Canis lupus familiaris: one gene and its partners. The protein of the gene in region 1 interacts with the protein of each later gene in a pairwise test. Links are inferred from orthologs where the notes say so. Each region holds a gene or a part of one and is shown in the gene's direction. Other genes may lie near its edges. The genes, in order: AP1M1, MTF1 and TGOLN2.

Region 1 (4,450 bases):
CACAGCAGGTCTGGTCTTTTCTGAGATGCTGCAGAGGTCAAATCTGGCTTACACATTAAGTGTAAACGCCAAGGATGACATTCAGATGTGATTTGAATTCCCCACACACACACATGGAAAAAGGAGGATACGAGTCATTTTGTGTAAACGGTTTACCGCGATGGTGCTTTTGGTGCTTGGGAGTCTTCCTCCCTCCAAAAGACTTTTGTCCAATTTGTACTCCTAGCCCTGCCCCCCTCAGTACTGATTTTAAACATCTAAATATTGCCTAGAGCAAGCCTGAAAGGAAATGCTCCATAATGAGAGGGTCACCTCTCCAGGGTGGTTTTTCTTTTTGTCTTAGGCTTTTTGGCATTTCCTTAGTTTTCAGTGAGGTGTATAATTTTGTAATTTTCAAAAGACCTGTTTTCCTACAACATTGAAATAATTTGGGCAAACCATGAGGCTAGGCATAAGAGAGTGCAGTACAAGACATTGTCAAAACTCTCCCAGATGTTTCGTGGAGCCCAGTAGTCTTAAAATATTCCCGTTTTCTCCTCTGGATTTTCTTGCACTTCATCTCTATCCAAAGCAGAGTGTGTATATAATCAAAAGCCATATTTCAAAACCCCAAAGGAGGTAGGAGGGGAAGGTTAAAAGTCGGAGGCAGGCAGCCTGAGTAAATGGGACTGATGCTGCAGGGTTGGGGTCCCCAGAGCATTGTGCTGGTTCCCTGGGACAACGTGGAGGCATTTCCCACAGCCCGAGTATTCATAAAAGCAATGAGATACTCCGCTGCTTCAGCAGGGGACACAGTTGGCATCACCCACTGCAGTCACTACAGAAAGAAGTGCTTTTCTCTAGGATTCGGTGGGGCGTGGTTTTCAGGTCATTCCAGGCAATCAACAGGCACTGACGAGGGTTGACACTGACAGGTGACAGGTAGTGACTGTCGATAAGGCCCGACTGCCATTCAGGGTTGGGCTTCTCTCCGAGTGACCGCCACCTTCCCCTTCCCCCGTAAGGCGCTGTCACAACTGGTAACTTTATTTGTTCCTAGAGTCCCCCACCGGACTCTGAGTGTCATGGGGCTGGGCCCAAGGTGAGTTCCACAACCGGTGCGTCACCTCCCTGGGACCCCGGAGGCGGGGCAGGGTTTCCAGCGGGCCTGGCAGCCAGCGAGTGCGCCGCTTCGGTCGGCCCCGCCCGGCTCCGCTCGGCCAAGCTCGGCCCCGCCCCTCTGGGCCTTACTTCCGGGACGCTTGACGCCGGAGCGGGAAATAAGGTCACATCGGGCGTATCGCGCCTGCGCGCACTCCGCCTCGCGCCTGCGCCTTTCCGGCAGCCCCTCCCCGACCGGACATAACGGTCCGCGCGCGGCTCCCCGGACCGGAAGTGGAGGCGAACTGTCGCGGGGCGCGCCCGGCCTTGCTCAACGCCCGGCAGTCCCCGCCGTCGCCGCCGCCCTCGGCAGCTGCCGAGGCTTCCCGCAGCCGTCATGTCCGCCAGCGCCGTCTACGTGCTGGACCTAAAGGGCAAGGTACATATGGCTCCCCACCCTTCCCGTTGCCAGGCAACCGGTGGGGCCTCGCCCCCTGGGGGGACCCACCCTGTTGCTAGGTAACTGGCCAATGGGACCCACCCTAGTCTTAGGCAAAGAGGCTGCTGGGCCTCACCTGAGGGCCCCACCCTGTTGCTAAGTAACAAGGCGGGGGCTTCGATCCGCGAGCCGCGCCCTGTCGCCAGGTAACACAGCTGCATGACCCCCTCCCCCCTCCACTGTGCGCCGGGTGCTCCCGCCTCGTAGGGGCATCGGGAAACCCGAGGCGGCGGCAGGGACGGGCCGCAGCCGTCCGGGAAGCCAGGACTGGCGCTCAGGGGCTGTGCGACCCTTGGCCGGAGGTGGCGAGGCGTGTCGGGGACAGCGCGCCCTCGGGCCAGCCCCGCCCTCTTTACCCGGCGATTTCATCTTGGCAGTCCCGGCTAGAATTTCTTAACGTTTGGTGTGACACTGAGTTACAGGGTTAAGTGAAGTGGGTGGTGGGAGGGCCATTTTACAGAGGGGGAAGCTGAGGCACAGGCAGGCAACCTGCCCAAGGTCACCCCAGCCATAGAATGGCGGGTCTAGGAGTCAGCTGATATTTGGGGAGCACCTACTAAGTGCTGCACGGGGTGCTTAGTCTTGGGCCACCTTTGGTGAGCAAAATTGGGAGTCGTCGTGGAGCTCGCAGCCTGGTGAGAGAAAGGGACACTGATCTCAGAAAGCACAAATCAATGTCAGTTGCCCTACTAGAGCAGTGAGGTTGTAATAGGAGACTATGCCTGGACCAGGGGTCAGGGAGGGCTTCCGGGAGGCAGTGACAGATCTGAAGGAAGAGTTGCACACGACTAGGACCCAGGTGCCTTTCCCAGGGGACTCTGGGAAAACTTCTTAAAGGAGGGGGTCTCAGAGCCTTTCCAAGTGGGCTGCTGCCTTTCCCCGAGTCCGTCCTGGCTAGAAGGCAAGTGAGTATTGGCCTCTTGATCTGGGAGTCACAGGAACGGCAGCAACAACGCTAACAAGTCCTGCACAGATCCCTGGGAGAGAGGTGGACGTTGGGCCTCGCGGAGCAGGCAGGAGTTAGCTCAGAAGCAGTGGGGAGTGAAGACGTGAAGTGGCTATCCCTTCCTGCCCCCACTCCCAGGGTACCCCACCCTAGCACTTTCCGAGAGTTCCTTGAGTGGGTCGCCTGCTCTGGATGCCACCCAAAGTCAACAGCTAGTGAGGCCCAGTGCTGGGCTCCCTTTCCCAGCCCTCAGGCAAGGGAAGACACAGGGCACCCCAGGGGCTGAGTGTGTGCAGCATTCCAGAGTGCCTGGAACTCCTGTTCTTCCTTCCACCCTGGCCACCGTGTCCGCAGAGTTCCCAAAGGCTGCCTTATCTCAATCTCTCATTCCTTGAGCAAACATTTCATGAGCACCTTGCATGCACCAAGCCCAGTGCTGACTACCTCACTGTGACTGTGCAGGTAGGGCTGAGTTCAAAACCCATCTCTGCTGCTTAGTTGTGTGACCTCAGGCAAGTACCTTTTCCTCTCTGAGCCTTGTTTTCCTCACTGCTCGCACAGGCTGGTTATGGTGTTATTGGACAAACTCTCTGAGCGAACGTTTGAGACAGGCTAGCACCTCGCATGGCCCACGGTCCTTGTTAACCCCATTGAGGACCTCAAGGTCTAGTAGGGGAGACACATGGAAGCTGGCAGATCCAAATGATCAGATCTAGGTAGATTGCAGGGGCATGGACACAGCCCCAGGTAATACAGTTGCCAGCCTCAGTTTTGGCTGCAGATGAAAAGCAGTTACAGAAGTCTTCCTGGAGGAGGGAGTTCGCCAGAGCTGGGAGCAGACCAGGTATTAGGTGGGCCAGGAGGCATCGCAGTTGGCCCGAGGGATCAGAGCAGCCTGCTGGGGCTGGCAGGTGAAAACCTGGGTAATGCTGGAGCCTAGAGGGTGACACCAGGAGGGCCATGGGTGGTTGAGAATGTCCCCATGGGTATGAGAAACAGAGAGGACCAGTGTGATCCTGGAAAGGAGGAGATTGTAGCCTGGGAGGAGCATGAGCAGACCTGCCTTTTGGGAAGCTCCCAGGGCAGCCATGGGCTTGCCTCTCATCCCCAGCAACCATCGTGCTATTTATTACTCCATTCCCCATGGACCTCAGGTTTTGAAAGGACCTTTTGTGCAGACTATATTTAATAAAAGGTAAGGTAGTAGCACAGTAAGAAATTCATGACCACAAGCCAGCCAGCCAGTGCCTTGGATCACCAAGGAAACCAGCATGGCCATGTTGAGCTGCTAGAAAGCCCTCCACCGACACTTTGCCCTTATCTTTCTTGTTTCTCTGCAGCTTCTGACACCACTGCCACACTCCTCAGTGGGCTTCCATTGGCCTCCTGAGGCACTGCTCTCTCTCGTTTTGCCCCTTTCTGTCACCGTCTCCTGGCCCCTCCCCTGGGATGTTGGCTCCTCTGGCTTAGGCCTATGGGTCCCACCCTCACTGTCCCTCTCCTTGGGTGGGTTTTGATTCAAGTCAGTGTGCAGGGAACTCAAGTTTGTACCGTAGTCCACAGTACTCACCTGGAGATCCATTGTTCTCAGGGACATCTCGGAGGTCCCACAGCTGCCACAAATCTGGCATTTCCCAAAATGAACTCGCTGCCACCCCAGGCCTGCTCTCCTCATCTCAGTGAATGACGCCACTGTCCACGTGCCTGCCCTCATTGGAGACCTGGGTATTATCCTGGCCTTTTTCTCCTCACCACCACGTTCACTCCACAAACATTCCCTGAGCACCCCCTGGAGTCAGGCTCTGTTGTGGATGCTGGGACATAGCCCTCAACAAGTTGGAAGTGGTCCCTGTTCTTTGAGTGTTCGACTCTGGTAGGGGGAACAGACCATAAAAGAAGATAGAGATTATAGTGAACCAGTGTTG
Region 2 (3,831 bases), on another chromosome or scaffold:
TTAAGTGCATTGTTTATTTAATCACAAGAATCCTAGGAGGTGGGTGTGATTTTACCAGTGGAGAGGTGAGGCCCAGAGAAGTTAAGTGACTAGATCAAGGTCACACAGCTCATAGGTGGCAGAGCTGGGATTTGAGCATAGACAGATTGATTGGTCCCAGAGCCTAGGCTGCTGACTGCTACCTCGTATTGCCAGATGAGAGGTGCAGAGTCGAGGCTTGTTGGGTGGCCATACAGGTCAGGTGAGCCTTGAGGTATGAGGATGATATAGGTGGAGAAAAGAACATATTAAGTAGGAGAATGTCTGGGTGAGTGTATGACGCTGTCAAACTGGAAAGTAGTTTAGGGCTAAATAAAGCATTTAGGTTCCATAGATCAGGTGCCAGCCACCTCTGGAGGCCACCTGGTTTCATGTTTAGATAGAGTCACTGGAAAGGCCTTTTTGGTGTTCTAATCCAATCTGCTCTGTGTCATTTTAATAATTGTTTCTTGGACCTGCCCTGGGGAGCTGCATGGAGCAGGTGTCTTTCCTTTTCCATATAATTCATTTTGTGTATTTAAATAGGGGTCTCATTTCTCCACCATTATTTTGTCATGTCAGCTCCTGTAACTTAGCCAGAAGCTTTCATATTCTTTCTACACTCAGCCTAGAGATGACTTTTCTCCCTCTTAAAGGGATAAAAGACAAAGCCTTTTTAAGAAAATACTTGAAGAAAGCAGAAATTCTGTAGCCAGTGTAACAGGAGGTGTTACCACAGTGAAAAAGGATGATCTCTGGGCCTGACGCTACGGTCCACCTCATAATAACATAAATAGGGCAAGAGGCTCACCGCATGCCGCAGGTTCTACAGGCATCCTCTCATCCACCCTCACAGGGGCCCTCTAGGAGGTCCTTTGGTTATCATCCCCGTTTTACCAATGAGGACACTAAAACTCTGAAGAAGTCAAATCATTTGCCTGGCCTTTACAACTAAGAGGTGGCAGGGTGTGGACTTGAGTCCAGGGCCCACCCTGGAGCTACTACCCTGTGTGGCTTAAAGCACACCGCTTGGGGCCTTCACGGGACTCTTGTGCCAGTGAGAGGAAGTCTTAGCCAGTCCTTAGTGTGCCACTGGATCCTTGAAGAGACCGAAAAACTTTCCAGCCTTGTGGAAGTATTGGGGTGTGGCAGCACTGGAGGGCTTTTAGGGAAGCTAGCCCTGGGGATCCCTGGGAGAAGACCACAGCTTGAGCAAGGCAACCTTGGTGGAGCCTTTGAGCAGTCAGAACCTACCGGAATGGGCAGCTGGGAGACAGCCAAGTAGTAGGAGACAAAACTGGCTGCATCGTCAGCACTGAATGTCAAACAGTGCAGTGACCTCATGTCAGAGCACAAACAAAACATCACTCAGTGCAAAAATCCTTGAACACTGAGGGTTTTCTGTCCTCTTGACTAGTACAATCGGGCAGGCTTCAGGTCTTTGGAGATCTGCCATACTTGAGTGGCTATAAATTGTGATTCCTCTTTTTTTCCCCCAGCAGCAAGCATCTAAAGTTGAGAAGGTGTTCTTTACCACTGCAGTACCAGTAGCCAGTAGCACAGGTATGTAATTGTGTGTTAGCCTTCAAAGAAAGTGAACTCTCTGGGCCCCTTAGGGCACAGTTAATGGTTGCTTTGCCCCAGATTTAAAAAACTCTAATTTGTCAGATTGTAATGTTTATTTATTAGAGTATTTCACATCTTCACAACTATTGGAAGTTAGCGTATCTACGGCATAAATGCTATATTTAACATTCCTTAAGGAGCAATGGTTCTTTTCTTCTCAGATATAGCTTTTAAATGTAACCAGAAGAAAGTTTGACTCGCAGTTAATGCCAAAGAGAGCAGCTGTTAATTCTTTGGACTCTTTTCTAACTACAGTAATGAAGAAATAGCATGTGGGTCAGAGACTCATAGAGTGAAATGTGCCTTTTTTTTTTTTTTTCAAACTATTTTATAGATTAAGAAATGGGGCCCTGAAGACTTAAATGACTCGTCCAAAATTGTCAGTGAGTTTGTGGCAGAGACAAAGCACTAGTTCTCAGGTCTCCTGATTCCCACTCTGTTCTTCTGTTCTCCTGTTCTCTGGTCTCTAACTTTTTTTTGAGACACACAAAGCCTGTCTGATTTCACAGTGGGACTATGCAGAGCACACACACACGCACAGAAGAGCAGGAGAATGTGCATGAGCGCAAGGCTGACCGTGTACAGGGGGATTCCCCCCACCAACCATGTGTCTGAGCCTGGGGATGGGAGCATGAGGCTCTGGAGGAGCTTGGTCTCAGGCAGGCGAGACACAAGCCCCAAGTCCTACCCTGTGTGGAGAGAGGTGCGAAGGGAGGCAGTAGCTCCATGCATATGGTTGGGAAGCTCATGGGCCCATGGGCAGCTCTAGGTGTTAGCCTGCTGGAAGCAGCATCAGGAGAGGAGGGGATGAGCTGGGTCTTCAGAGAAAAGAAGAGGAAGTTCTCCGGAGAAACAGCCCTGTCTGGGGAGTTTAGGCAGAAGCAAGAGCTCATAGGCCCAGAGGTATGAAGAACACATGTCAGGGAAAGGGACACATATGCTGTGGCTGGCATGGAGGGGACAGGGCAGAAAGGCTGGAAACGAAGCTGGAAATACAGGGTCATCTAGATGGTGTGCCTGGCTCTCTAAGGACAAGGGACTTTGGCGTGGAGGGGATGGGGAGTGTCAGGCAACACAAAGCCTGGAGCATGGCATCCTTCCTTGTCACCATTCCTGCCTCCGAGGCACTCGGCACTCCCCTAGTCTGTACCCCCATCCCTCACGCCCCTGCCTGCGGCTACTTGAGGAGCAGTGTCTCTTGCCTCTCTCGCAGGGAGCTCTGTACAGCAGATTGGCCTCAGTGTTCCTGTGATCATCATCAAACAAGAGGAGGCGTGTCAGTGTCAGTGCGCGTGCCGGGACTCTGCCAAGGAGCGGGCAGCAGGCAGGAGGAAGGGCTGTTCTTCCCCACCCCCTGCAGAGCCGGGCCCCCAGCCTCCTGATGGGTCCAGCCTGAAGCTACCACCGCAGACTTTTTCCTCGCCCCCTGGCCCCCTGTCGTCCTCCTCTGCTGTACCCTCTTCCTGTGAGCAAAGCAGACGAGCAGAGACTCCTTCAGACCCTCAGACAGAAACGTTAAGTGCCATGGATGTGTCAGAGTTTTTGTCCCTCCAGAGCCTGGACACCCCGTCCAATCTGATTCCCATTGAAGCACTACTGCAGGGGGAGGAGGAGATGGGCCTGACCAGCTTCTCTAAGTGAAAGGGGGCCGCCTGCGCTCACCTCCAGCAGAGGAGGCCGAGCGGGAAGCAGAAAGTGTGGTGCCTGCCATCAAGGGGGGTCAGCAATTCGAAGGATGAAGAAATCTACTGTTTGAAATCCTCACCTTTCAGACGTATTTTCTTTAGTCATATCCCAGGAGCATCCATTTTAAGGAACTGATCTTTGGAGAAAAAAAAAAAAAACCAACAAAAAAAAAAAACAAAAAAAGCTAAGTTATAAATGAACTGTTTGGCTGCACTGTATGTCACTTTTGCTTATTGTCATGTGAACTTGGAAATTAAGGTTACTCGTATGCATAAACATTCGAAAAGAAAGGGTGTGGATTCCATCAGTCTGATGCTGCCCATCACTTGCACTGGGGTCTTCGTGGTTTGGGCAGCAGAGCTCAGTGGGTCGGCTGTCCCTCTGCCCTGTGCGACTTTTGAGTCTAAGGCTGAGGCGGAAGCGGGCACGGGAGGCCAGACCCTCACTCCACCAGAGGGGGCTGTGGCAAAGGCAGGCCAGACAGCTGTGAGCTGGACAGGG
Region 3 (4,567 bases), on another chromosome or scaffold:
TCAACAGACTACAGAGGAGTAGTATTTCCCTTGGTGGCTGTAGTCCTTTTTGGTGGGATTACATTTTGACCCGAGTTAACTGGAATATTTTCTGATGTAGTTTTCTGTCACACAAAGACTTATGTTCTGGACAACTCCCAGATCATTTGCTCCTAAATCTGGCTTTGCTCCAGACCCATCCTTTGCCATTTTCCTTATTCTCTGTTATCTAGCAATCTTGTTCTCATCTTTAGACTTCCACAAAATATTAGGCTCCCACCTGCTTCCAGGCCTTCGCACATGCTGAAGGGAGAACTCATCCTCTTCTCTTCAACTTCACCTGGGAGATATCTACACTCTTAAGTTAGGATCTATCATTTTTAAAACTACTCTCTACTAAGCACCTAACCTGGCAAATGATTATAAAACGATTTCAAGCAGCCATTAATGTATAAACATAACAGTACTTTAAACAGTATGATATGGGGATCCCTTGGTGGCTCAGCGGTTTAGCACCACCTCTGGCCCAGGGCATGATCCTGGAGACCCGGGATCAAGTCCCATATCAGGCTCCCTGCATGGACCTGCTTCTTCCTCTGCCTGTGTCTCAGCCTCTCTCTCTCTCTCTCTTTCGCTCTCTGTGTCTCTCATGAATAAATAAATAAAATCTTTTAAAAAAATAAAAAAAAAAACAGTATGATACAAAACTATTTACCCAATGATACAAATTTGGAGGAAAATGAATATGTATAGAAAAGAACAAAAAATACACCAATATAAGACGGAGGAAAAAATAAGTACATACGTAAGTGTTAAAAAAAAAAAAACACTAGAAAATAAAACACTACATAGAAACACAATAAACTAAGTGGTAACTGTAGAATGGTAGGGAGCAAGAACTTTCTCATGTATAGCTTTTTTTTACTGAACCATTAGAATGTACCAAACCAAATATATTAAAATGTTTGCAAGACAGGGACGCCTGGGTGGCTCAGCAATTGAGCGTCTGCCTTCAGCTCAGGGCTCAGGGCGTGATCCTGGGTTGAGGGATTGAGTCCCCATCGCGCTACCTGTGAGGAGCCTGCTTCTCCCTCTACCTATGTCTCTGCCCCCCTCTCTCTCTCTGTCTCTCGTGAACGAATAAAGTCTTTTTTCTTTTTTAATGTCTGCAAGGCAGAAAACACACTAAAACTTTAATAGTGATTATCCCGGAAGAATGGGACAAAGATTTTGTCTTCTATTTCTATAAATACGCTCACTAAATCTTCTATAATGACTGTGAAGAACTTTCATGACCAGAAAAAAGATGTACCTTTGGGGAGACCTCGGAGAGCAGTTTCCGCGGGGTCAGGAAAGAGAGGAACTGGACTGGGAAGGCTCCCGCTACAAAGGTGACGGGATCAGTTTCTGTTTCCAGATGGGAGAGACCTGAGCGCAACACGTTTGTGTGCTACGAGCAAAGAACCATGAGAAAAGAGAGGTTAGAAAGGTGAGCAGTCTGAAGCCCAGGCGCCGGGTCCCAGCGAGTGCAGTCCCCACGGGGCCATCCGCAGGCTAGGGAGCTCTGGCTCTGCCAAAATTGTCTCGGAAATACAAGGGCAAAGAAGGAAAAGGGGACTGACGCTCGTGGTGGACCTGGGAAAGGAAGAAGGTGTAAGCTGCCTGCGCCGAGGGACGCTGCGCCGGCCCCAGCGAGAGCAGAACCACCGTCCTCTCCCGCCCTTGCCGAGGCCCCTCCCCTCGCCTGGGCGTGCGGCGGAAGGACGAGCGCAGGAAGGGGCGGGGCTATGAGCGCCCAGAGTGCGCGCGCGGATGTCGCGAGAGCAGTAGAGAGCGGAAGAGTAGTAAGTGCAGGATGCGGTTCCTGATTGCGTTGGCCCTGCTGAGCCTCGCAGTGGCGGGTAAGACCCCACCCCCAATAATCCTACTATCATCCCTAGGTCCACCGTCCTCACCGCGGCCGGGTCGCTCTCTGAACCCGCTTCTTCCCTGCCGGAGCCACCCCTCCGCTTGCCATCACCCACCTCCCCCGTTTGCCTGTTGCCTCGGTCTCTTCTAGCTCTGAGGGCTCCCTTCTCCCGGATTTCCTCTCTTCAGAGCGAACTGGTTTCTCTATTTCAGTGGCCCCAACAGGAGAGCCTAGCGAGCTGCAGCCACAGCCCGGAGACAACGGCCCTAGCAAGAAGCCCAAGCTTGAGGCCACAGGAGTCGACCCTGACAAGCCCAAGCCTGAAGCCACAGGAGAGGACCCTGACAAGAAGCCCAAGCTTGAGGCCACAGGAGTCGACCCTGACAAGCCCAAGCCTGAAGCCACAGGAGAGGACCCTGACAAGAAGCCCAAGCTTGAGGCCACAGGAGTCGACCCTGACAAGCCCAAGCCTGAAGCCACAGGAGAGGACCCTGACAAGAAGCCCAAGCTTGAGGCCACAGGAGTCGACCCTGACAAGCCCAAGCCTGAAGCCACAGGAGAGGACCCTGACAAGAAGCCCAAGCTTGAGGCCACAGGAGTCGACCCTGACAAGCCCAAGCCTGAAGCCACAGGAGAGGACCCTGACAAGAAGCCCAAGCTTGAGGCCACAGGAGTCGACCCTGACAAGCCCAAACCTGAAGCCACAGGAGAGGACCCTGACAAGAAGCCCAAGCCTGAGGCCACAGGAAACGACCCTGACAAGCCCAAGCCACAGCTCACCAGAGATGACTCTGACAAGATCCCCAAGCCTCAGGCCATGGGAGACAACCCTGACAAGAAGCCCAAGCCACACTCTATGGGAGACGACCCTGACGATGAGAAGCCCAAGCCACAGGCCACAGGAGATGGCACTAGCAAGGTGAAGTCCCAGATGCAGTCCTTGAATGACCACTCCAACAAGCTGGTCTCTAACCCCTCTTCTGATAACAAGAAGCCCACCAAGCCTCACTTAAACATACCAGCCGACAAAGATCCCACTCTGAATGATTATAAAAATGAATCTGAGGAGAGAGTATTACTGGACTCTGACCCCACTTCACAGCAGGAGGGAGAAGGCAAGTCTATAGAGCTTACCGAAGATGTGGAACCCAAGAAGGCTGAGGAAGGGGATACGGAGCCTGAAGAAGGTTCACCACTCCAAGGAGAGAAAGAAATGCCTGGCCTTGCCTCCAGTGAGAACCGTGAAGGGACACTTTTGGATTCTGTGGGTAGGCAGAATGATGACCTTTATAAGGACAGTCTTGGAAGTGCTAGTGCAGAAAGCAGCCACTTCTTTGCTTATCTGGTGACTGCAGCCATTCTTGTTGCTGTCCTCTATATTGCCTATCACAATAAACGGAAGGTAAGTCAAGAACTGTCTTGAGGAATGAGATTTCCTCCACCTTGAAAGCTTGGTGTGTGGGCCAATATCTGTCATTCATCTGCCTGTGAGCACTGGAGATTTCAAGTCAAACTTCAGTTTTTCCTCAGATTCTGCTAGGTCTCTTTACTCTCATTTTATAAATCATTTTCTTTCATGTCCGATTCTTTTGAGTGCCCTCTGCTGCTGTGTTAGGTGCCAAATGAGGACATTTTTATGATCTGACCTGAATTGGGGTCTTCTCCCACAATCTTAAATTTAGATCATTTTACTGCCTCCGAGAATCTGAGTACCTGACAGTTTGTAAGTAGAGTACTTATCTTCCTATTTCCACTCTGAAGATAGTGCATCATTTCTAGTTTCCTTTCCCACACTTTTATCTTGCATCTGCAATGGCAGAAAGAGTGGTTACATAGTCTTTGACATCAGCAGCAGAGAGCCCAGGGACTATCTTCTACAATCGGTTGAGTTTCCGATTAGAAGAATGACCAAAAATTGCATGGATACAATCGTCTTTTAATGTTACAGCAGATTTGGTGTGGAGTAATATCTGTGTTGCTTAGCAACCACTCTGATGACAAATGATTGCATTTCTTATTGAGCTCTAAGAATTTATTTTTTTAAAGATTTTATTTATTCATGAGAGACACACACAGAGAGGCAGAGATACAGGCAAAGGGAAAAGCAGGCTCCATCCCTGGACTCCAGGATCACGCCCCAGGGTGAAGGCAGCACTAAACCGCTAAGCCACCCAGGGATCCCGCTAGCTCTAAGAATTTAGTAGTTTCTATAGCCTGGTTAAAATTGGAGAGTTCAGTTTATGATATCAGTATGCCTATGGCTATGAGGAATGAGGGAAGATATTTAGTAAAAATAGTTCTTTATTCTACATCCAAGTGCTCGTCCCACAGAGTAATCTTAGATGTAAAAGCAGTAAGGTTAAAATGAAGCAAGGTGTGGGGAGGAAAAGTACATTTGCAGATAAGAAATAATTATTGCTTGTGAGAGAAAAGGAATGTCTGATCCTAGAGCTGTGTGGGGCACAGCTGGCAGATCTTTGTGCTCTTGAGTAAATCATCCAGACTCCCACAGGCTAACGGCCAGAATAGTCTTCCTTCATCTGTCATTTCCTGTTTAGCAGTATAAAAGATTCTGATGTAACTGGAGGCCCCGTCCTCCTGAAAACTGTTATAATTTAAAGATGCCTCTTGTGAGTTTGCGGCTCTTTCACTGCCGGGGTCATTAACAAATGTAGTACC

The links.
Region 2: the proteins of AP1M1 (region 1) and MTF1 interact in binary tests that used the Homo sapiens proteins (3 or more experiments, as listed by UniProt). The two-hybrid records come from large-scale screens. The link is inferred for Canis lupus familiaris from reciprocal best matches to the Homo sapiens genes AP1M1 and MTF1.
Region 3: the proteins of AP1M1 (region 1) and TGOLN2 interact in a two-hybrid assay, tested with the Homo sapiens proteins (2 studies listed by BioGRID). The link is inferred for Canis lupus familiaris from reciprocal best matches to the Homo sapiens genes AP1M1 and TGOLN2.

Annotation. Positions count from the first base shown.
Region 1 is NC_049241.1:46,698,199-46,702,648, reverse strand, and holds the start of AP1M1 (AP-1 complex subunit mu-1), read left to right. Parts: upstream 1-1,352; 5' UTR 1,353-1,477; coding exon 1,478-1,519; intron 1,520-4,450. UniProt on the Homo sapiens protein: Subunit of clathrin-associated adaptor protein complex 1 that plays a role in protein sorting in the trans-Golgi network (TGN) and endosomes.
Region 2 is NC_049236.1:4,785,454-4,789,284, forward strand, and holds part of MTF1 (metal regulatory transcription factor 1), read left to right. Parts: intron 1-1,517; coding exon 1,518-1,581; intron 1,582-2,857; coding exon 2,858-3,285; 3' UTR 3,286-3,831. UniProt on the Homo sapiens protein: Zinc-dependent transcriptional regulator of cellular adaption to conditions of exposure to heavy metals. Binds to metal responsive elements (MRE) in promoters and activates the transcription of metallothionein genes like metallothionein-2/MT2A.
Region 3 is NC_049238.1:40,036,509-40,041,075, reverse strand, and holds the start of TGOLN2 (trans-Golgi network integral membrane protein 2), read left to right. Parts: upstream 1-1,693; 5' UTR 1,694-1,834; coding exon 1,835-1,880; intron 1,881-2,100; coding exon 2,101-3,290; intron 3,291-4,567. UniProt on the Homo sapiens protein: May be involved in regulating membrane traffic to and from trans-Golgi network.